Linked DNA regions of Sus scrofa. The protein of the gene in region 2 purifies or fractionates together with the protein of the main gene of each other region. This does not show direct contact. Links are inferred from orthologs where the notes say so. Each region holds a gene or a part of one and is shown on either strand. Other genes may lie near its edges. The genes, in order: SNRNP70 and HNRNPR.

Region 1 (3,801 bases), about 27 Mb from region 2:
AAAGTCCGAGCTACACTAGGCACACGCCCCCGCCCGGCACACGGAAGGCCTCTTCCGCCTCGAGCTCCGCACTCCCTCCCACCACCTGCTTCAGCCCAAAGGCTGGCCTGCAGCAGACAGCCCTGGGGGTCCAGGAGACGGAGCGCTGTCCGCGATCCGAGGAGGGGCCGCGCGGCCCCTGCGCCCAGAGGAGGGGAGCAGGGGAAGGCGTTTAGGGACTGGGAACCCAGTCAAGCAAAGGAGCCCTGCTCTTGGTTCGGAGTCCCAAACCCCAGACGAGGCCCAACCCGGGAGTAACAGTAAAGAAAACACGTGCTGTGTGTATCTAGGCTTCTCTCGCTCTCCCTCTCTCAGGTCTCTCGACGGTGGAGGGGCCTTAGCTGTGTTCCAATACCTTCAGTGGTTCGTGGCCTGGTGCCTGGGCCCTCCCGCACCCCCGGCCCCAGTTCCATGCACTCTGGAGAGCGGCTGGGCTCCACGGCCCCACGGCCCCACGGCCCCTCAGGAGGAAGCCTCGGCCATGACAAGGGAGACTGGAAGGGGGCAGAGCACCCTGAACCCAGCAGCCAAAAAGACGCTCTGGGGCCACCACATTGGTGGCCCGCAGAGGGCAGGGGGAGGGAGCGAAGGCCGGCCGGGTTCCACCAGGAGCCCGGGCCCTAGCGCAGCCCCTCTTCGGTGTTCCCGCCGCCTCGCCGTGGACGCTGTGAAGCCAGATGCCTCAGGGGGACTGGGGTGACGGAGCCCACGTGGAGAGGCCACTGCCTCTCCCGTCAGAGTTCATCTTTCCCCTCCTGGGACCGGCAAGACTACCAGAGAGCGTCTGGATGGGGACAGAAGTGACAAAGGGCACCCCAACGAGGAAAGGGCTTGGGGTGCGGGGCGGCTGAGGGGCAGCTGGGGGGAGGGAGGGGCGCCTCGCTGCTCCTGAGCTGCCTGGCTAAGCTGGGCTGGTGTGCGGTGCTGAGTGAGCTTACCCATGATACAAACCCTTATACCAACCATACACTGAGGTGTTGTAAGGGGAGCGTAAGCATCAGCTGCAAGCCAGCTGCGTGGTGGCTGCAGTGACAATAAGAACAGTCAATTAATACGGCGGCCCCTGGACACGCCGCAGCCCTGCCCGCCCCCACCCACCCAGCCCTGCCCATGTGGACGCCGCCGCAGCCTCAAAGGGGGCTCTGGAGAAGGGGGGGCAGGCGCCAAGCACGCCCACCAGCCCACTGCCCGCTGAGGAACAGGGCCGGGGCCGGGGCAGGGAGGCGGAGGGTCGGGTGGTCCAGCCCCAGCCCAGCTGGGGGGAAGAGAGGGCAGGTTCAAAGGCCAGTCCTCATTCCAACCTGGCCGCCCCAGCTCTGTGGGGGGGGGATGGGGAGAGGATCCCCGAAAATCCGACCCCTCCCCCTGCCTCCAGCTGGCCCCAGCCCCCACCCGTTCCCTGCTTGCCCCTGAGGTTCAACGTGTGACACTTACCTCCCCGGGTTCACACACACACACACACACGTTGTGGGGGATTTTGGTTTTTGGTTTTTTAAAAAAACACGTATATAAAAAAAAGAAGATATATCAGAAACAGAGGGAGGAGGAGAAGAGACACGGCTGAGGTCAGGTTTGGCGGGGTGGGGGTGGGCCAGACGGCGGGGAGGGGCCGGGGCAGCAGAGAAGAGAGCGGGCCAGAGGGAGGGCGCAGGCGGAGGTACTCACAGTGCATGTCTCGCTCGTGTTCGTACTCGATGAAGGCGTAGCCCCGGGGCTTCCCTGACCGCTTGCTGTAGACCATGTGTATCTGTGGGGGGGAGCAGGTGAGTTGACACAGGCAAGCACTCCCACCACTCGCATGGCCCGGGGGCTAGGCCCTGGGTCGGGTGGTGCCAGCAACAGATGCTCAGATGCCCCCTCTGTCCCTTCAAGGACCCAGAGTGACCGGAGCTCCCGGTCATGGACACAGCGGTTTTAAGGGAAAACAAAAAAACAAAAAACCCACCCAGAGGGACAGATGCGCTAAGGGCCCTGGGTGCAGCACTTCCCGTGCAGCGTGACCTCAAGGCCAGAGCACTGAAGTGACTTTTAAATTAAATGAAAGCATGTCAGTTAAACACAAAGCCTTGGTCTCCAACAAGAGTCGGCATCGTCTTCCTTCAAGGGCCTGACAGGAGTGACTCCCAGCTCCGAGGGCCAGTCTGTGCCGCGCCTGCTCGCCCCTCCCTCGCAGCAACAGCAGCCGCGAACGCGCGGAAACGAGCGCGCCCAGCTCAGCAGCAAGGAAACTGGACTTGCAAACACCAAGTCTGGAGCCTGCCCACCTCTGCTCTGAATCGGCACCAAGTCGTCACTGCCTATATCCCAAGTCACGCACGCAGGGTAGGCCGGACCCAGGCTGCTGACTCCGAACCCCAGAAATGACCTGCGGTGTCCTCGGGGCGGCAAGCCAGGCTTCTCCCTCCCCCAACACACCTGCCACTCAAAATCCGCCGCCCCAGGCCACTCACCCTCTTGATGGGTCCATACACCTCAAACTCTCTGCGGAGCTTGGACTCTGTTGTGTCATAGTTCTACGAGGAGACAGGGGTGAAGTTAACCGGGAGCAGCCCTCAGAACATTCCTGAGACAGAGCCTCCTGTCCACAGCCAAGCCCCCAGCAGCCCAGGGTGCCAGGCTCTTCTGGGGCTCAGGGTTCGGGAGCTGGGGACTCACCACTCTGGCCACAAAGAGAGTCTTGAAGGCATCGCCCTGAGCATTGGGATCATTGTGCGGGTCCCCTGTGCGGGAAAAGCAAGAAATCTGTAAGGAGGAAGTGCTGATGGACTCACAGAGCAAGACAGATACGGGCAGAGGGCCAGAATTCATGGTCCCCTGGCGACCTTGGCATGTCCCTCTCTGAGCCGTGTCCCTAAAGCACAACAGCTTTTATCCGAGTGGCCGACTTCGGCTGGAGGGCGGGGAGAAGACTGACTTCAAGCTGACAGGCTGGGGCCAGCCTCTTTCAGACCTGAGGCCCAGGTCCCTTCCAGGTGTACCTAAGCCCAAAGGGGCATCTCCAGAGAAACAGCCCGATCCTTCTCGGTACAGAGCGTCCCCCCTCACCCGCAGGGCCGCCACGCCACTCCCTGGCAGGGCCTGCAACTACAGCCCGCAGGGAAACCGGAGCTGAAGCCACCCCAAGCCCAAGAGGGGGAGCCTACTGGAGTCCGAGCCCTGCTTTCTTCCTCCCGAGGCCACGGGGCATCAGGGAGGAACTCAGGGCTGGTGCTGGAGTTCAGAAGCGGCTGACCAGATTCTCAGGCCCAGCCTTACTACCACCAGGCCACTGAAGAACTCCACCGCCACAGACAGAAGCCAGGATCTATCTCAAAAGCAATTCCCACAGCAGACTCCGATGGCTCAGGCCTGTGAAGAAGTCCTCTTTGCCAAGCATGGTGGCCCAGTACACACGATGGCCCTTGATTCCCACCAGAGCCCCAAGGCACCCTGCCCACTGCGTAGCAGAGACGGTTCTTCTACAACACAGTGCCGCCCGCAGAAGAACCTGCCACCTCCGAGGAGAACGGGAGGCAAGGAGGCGTGCGATCATCTCCAGAACACACGGTGGGCCAGTCCTGCTCGACACAGAGTTACTTACCACCGTTTTGCAAAAGGAAGTAACACCAACCCCTGAGGCATGGGAGAGGGGCAAGCGTCAGAGCAGCACAGAAGCCAAGGCTGGCTTTCAGCCCTCACAGCCTAGCCCCCCAAGGAACCCCATGCCTTGGCCTCCCGGGAAGAGTGTGCGTTCTCTAAGAAGCCACTGCATTAAAAGTCACA
Region 2 (4,486 bases):
CTTATACAGTTTTTACAAGTTTGGTTTAAAAACAGAATGAACACCCACAGACCACTTAATCAATGTTCAAGGACTTTCAAGTTTTCCTAGCTCTGCTTCAAATCCAAGATAGGTGTGAAATAAATGCCCTGTTGTCTCTAGTTCAACCTGCTGGTGGTTTGGGTTTTCTCCACCTCACTTAAAACAAAAAACACAACTTGACATTAATTTTTGTTCTAAAATTAGTTTGCTACTCCCATTCACAGATTTAAAAGAAAAAATGACCAGGTTTAAAAGCTAAATGATTGTTTTAAGTCCACATAAAATAAAAAGTGAGCTAGAGTTAAGGCTGCTTCTTTAAAAAAAAAAAGTCATGAGTATATACTGAATTTTTTGTATCAGTAAAATAAAACTGAAAAACGTATTTGAGAACAGACAACTAATGTCTTCCACATAGTTTCAACAAACATTACCTAATGAGAATAAACTTAGGTCAGATGTCTCAGATTAACCTACCCAAATCATTCTGGGTGTTCAACCTGTATGTAATGCTGAAATGGACCAACACCCTGACAGAGAGATTAAATAATAAAACCAAAACAAGGCCAGTCTCTATACTGCCTCCTCAAAAGGGAATTAAAGTGCATTTGTCCGTGGTGAAATTATAATGTGATGAATAAGCAGAATAAAGACACTGCAACAAATACTGAAATTAAGGACATGAAGGTGGATCTCAAAGGAAAAGCCTACTTGATGAAACTCAAAATACCAGCTATAAAGAAAATACAAGTTTCCTGAAAAGCAGTAAAACTCATACATAAGGTAACCACACTTCCAGACTGCTTATCAAAACACTATGCAAATGCACACCAAGTGCATTCTTCTTAATTAAAACAACTTCATTTCAAAGTCCACTGATATTTAGTTGAAGTTAATGAAAAAGGGAAGAAGAGACTGAGTAGGAAGAGAGGAAAATGCAGAAAGGGTCCCTCTGAAAATGAGATAAATATCATGACTTATTATGATTACAAAACATCATTAAGACTTAGTAACCCAATAATGTCTATACAGATGCAGACTCCACGGTTAAATTCTGGGTAGATAAATGTCTCTCAAGACAAGCCCCAAATTCTGATGGACTGGCAAAAACATTCAAAACTGGCACACTTTTGATCAAGAAGCTACTTACAGTGTAAGATAAATCGTTTACTGATTAATACAACCTACTTCTACAAAGATGCATCCTAAAGTCCAAAATCTCTTTATGAACATACAGTTGTTCCCCCCCCATACGAGCATAAGATCATCAGAACTCAAAAGTTCTCGGTAACACAAACCCTTGCAGTATTGCATCTGAGAATTCTATTAGTCACGGAAAGAAAGCAAATTTTTAACAGAAAAGTTCAATAAACATCTGTTAAGGTGGTATTTTTTCTTTTAAGTATGTGTAAAGCAAAAAGACAAGTTGTGTATTAATCGCAAGACAAATATTTATGTCTACCATTCACTGCAAAGGCTCTCTACAAGGTGATTCTGAAACTGGTTGAAAATTTCAAAAAGTCTGTAACCTTAAAAAAAAAAAAAAAAAAAAAAAAAAAAAGTACAGCTATTAGAGTCCAGAAAATAAAACCTTTCATGTCAAGGAAAACCTCTCTCCAAGCCAAATACAATGTGCTCATTTTTAAAAAGATTTTTATGTCATTATGAGACCATTTAAAACTCTTGTTTTGTGTCAATACAATGCCACACAGCCAAACCATATTTCTGGATGCAGCAAATATACTAATGTGACTAAAGTCATTTGATCTACACTGTTTTGCAAAAAGTAGAAATTTAAATAAGGGCTGCTGGGACATTGGGGAAGTCTGACACTAGCCTCTCCCTGACTTTTTCTGAACATCTCGTGAAAACTCTTCACATTTAAGAGACTGGCTTTTAAAGAACCAACGAAATGAAAACTAACGGTTAACTCGGCTTAGGAGTGTCAAGCCCTTATCCTACGACTGACTCATGAGACATAAATTCAGCCTCCAGAGGACAGCAAAAATCTCAAACAGGTAGCGTAAAAGGACTGAACCCTTCAAGAACCCCAGGGCTTCAAGTTTTAAATTCTGGCAATACGGCTTCTACCATAGAAAAAAAAGAATCGCCTTTCCAATTTAGTGCGCCTGTGACATTCCTGGAATTATGTATCTCAGACGCCGCTCGAAGCCTAAGTTTCATGGCCTCTAATAGTCATTTTTTCCTTCAAATCTCGACTCGCAGCATGCAGAATGGGGGAGGGGAAGGAGGCTTTCTACACATACCCGCCTTTCGGCCTCTGCTTCGCACAAAAGTTTTCTCCCGGCTCAGGTCACTCGGGGTTTGCATCCCGCCCTCTGCCCACCCACCCCCACTCATGCCTGTCCCAAGCATCAACACATCCCACTCATAGCTAGGCCGACTGAGACAGGAGCTTGGAGGCTCCGACGGGGAAAGGCGATGGTGCCGTGGACGCCTCAGGCCGCTGGTCCGGCCCGGCCCAACCCGGCCGCGAGGAGCGACAGGCGGAGGCGGGAAAAGCGCGACCGACCCGGCAGGCCGCGCGAAGGGCGCCCGGTGGGCCGGACCGAGGGCTAGGGGTTGGAGGGGCGGGGGGAGGATGAGCGAGGGTGAGGAGGCGCCTCAGCGGGGCTAGGCCCTCAGCGGTGCGGCGGGAGAGGCCAAAGCCGCCCCCAGCCCATCCCCACCCCCACCCCGGGGCCTCGGAGAAAACCAAACGGGACGCGGTGCGGAGCCCCGGCCAGGCCCACTAGGGTCGGATCGGGGCTCCCGGCCCCTCCCCCCGCGGGCCGGCGCGAGACTCACCAGGACAGATCTGGGGCCGGCGGCCGGGCCCGTGAGAATCAGCGCGAGGCGCTTTGAAAACGACTAGAAATGGCGCGCGCGCCACCCCCTCCCCCCCTCATGGACCGAGACGCGATCCCGGCAGCACGCGGGGTTTCCCGGAACTGCTTCCAGGGACTCGGAGCGGCCGGGCAATCACCTCGCGCGGCAGCCTAAGGGACAGCTCAGAGGACCAATAGTAGTGAGAAGAGGCTCACTACTCCGGACGCTCGGGAGCCAATCGATGAAGCCGTAGGCTGAGCCAATGAGGGAACTCAGCGCCGCCGGCTGGGGCGCCTCCGGGGCGGGGGTAGGAACACAAAGGGGTCTATCGTGAAGCCCCGGGTGGAGGCGAGGCTGCGGGGCACCGGGCCCAGGGTGGCCGAGGCCCCGCCCTCCTCGTCTGCTGCAGACGCGAAGCCGAAAAAGTAGGCCTCGCGCCGCGTGGCCGCCTCCGGAATCCCGCCCCCTGCCGTCCGCGCCGGCCCTGGCGGGCCGCGGCCTTCCCGCCGCTTCGCCGCTGCCGCAGCGCTGGTGATTCCCCCGCGTGCCGCCGCCGCGGCCGCCGCGGGCGTTCGCCCCAGACACGCCCACCGCCACGCGGTCCGGCCTTCCTCTAGGTCGTCTTTGGGACTTTAATTAGAGCACGATCTAAGGATTTGGCTCGCCCGTTTTTTTCCGAGAATCTTTTCGTGTAGAAAATCATCCCTTGGAACGCTCAGAAAACGGCTTCCTCGGCTGCCTTCCACACATCCTTGGGAGCAGATCAGAATGTGGGAGAAATCGCTAAAGTGGGCATTACTCAGAAGCAGTTAAGTACAAATGACAGAGCAGGGACCTTTCTTCGCGGGGTTTGACGCTAATTAATATTCAGAAAGCAGGACAGACGTATACATCACGAACCCCAAAGAGCCGTGCCAGGAAAAGAGCTAATTCCCAAAGGAGACTAATTTCCGTTATTCTGAAACATTTCTCACCCTCCACACCTACTGGTTTGTTCCTCGTCCTCGCCTTAATCCAAACCTCTAATCCCACATCCCTTCCTTCCCTACCTCAACTTCCAACACCCCACCCTTCCCCTCCGCGCCGGAGTGGAGGAAGTCAAGCAGTGTTCCGCAAGACTTCCATATACACTTCGAGGACCATTAGATTTTCCAGAAGCTATCAACCAAAAATTATTTACTCAAAACCTATGTGCCCAGTACTGAGCTAAACATCACGGTGGATCCAACTTTTGTGTTGAGGGGTGTGAGACTTATACAAATGATGGGATCCTTAAAAATATCTTAAATGATGAGTACAAATTTAGAAGTGTCTTGGAAGAGCATGGTAAAGGGACTTTGAAGCTTAAACTTTATTAGCTTCAGATAAATCTCCCTCTAACTCAAGGGTTCTTAATCTGTTTTGTGCCATTCAACAGTCTGGTATAAGCTATGGACCTCTTAGGGTTTGTTTATTTTTTGTCTTTTTTGCCTTTTCTAGGGCCACTTCCCGCGGCATATGGAGCTTCCCATGCTAGGGGTCCAATCAGAGTTGTAGCCGTCGGCCTACACCACAGCCACAGCAACGCCATATCTGAGCCACGTCTGCAGCCTACACCACAGCTCATGGTAACGCCAGATCCTTAACCCACTGAGTGAGG

Evidence for each region.
Region 1: the proteins of HNRNPR (region 2) and SNRNP70 purify together in Homo sapiens (affinity purification with mass spectrometry; 3 studies listed by BioGRID and IntAct, with this or other methods). This does not show direct contact. The link is inferred for Sus scrofa from reciprocal best matches to the Homo sapiens genes HNRNPR and SNRNP70.

Annotation. Positions count from the first base shown.
Region 1 is NC_010448.4:54,294,700-54,298,500, reverse strand, and holds part of SNRNP70 (U1 small nuclear ribonucleoprotein 70 kDa), read right to left. Parts: intron 2,760-3,801; coding exon 2,695-2,759; intron 2,553-2,694; coding exon 2,490-2,552; intron 1,787-2,489; coding exon 1,705-1,786; intron 1-1,704. UniProt on the Homo sapiens protein: Component of the spliceosomal U1 snRNP, which is essential for recognition of the pre-mRNA 5' splice-site and the subsequent assembly of the spliceosome. SNRNP70 binds to the loop I region of U1-snRNA.
Region 2 is NC_010448.4:81,236,437-81,240,922, forward strand, and holds the start of HNRNPR (heterogeneous nuclear ribonucleoprotein R), read right to left. Parts: upstream 2,981-4,486; 5' UTR 2,827-2,980; intron 2,711-2,826; exon of another isoform or gene 2,286-2,710; intron 1-2,285. UniProt on the Homo sapiens protein: Component of ribonucleosomes, which are complexes of at least 20 other different heterogeneous nuclear ribonucleoproteins (hnRNP). hnRNP play an important role in processing of precursor mRNA in the nucleus.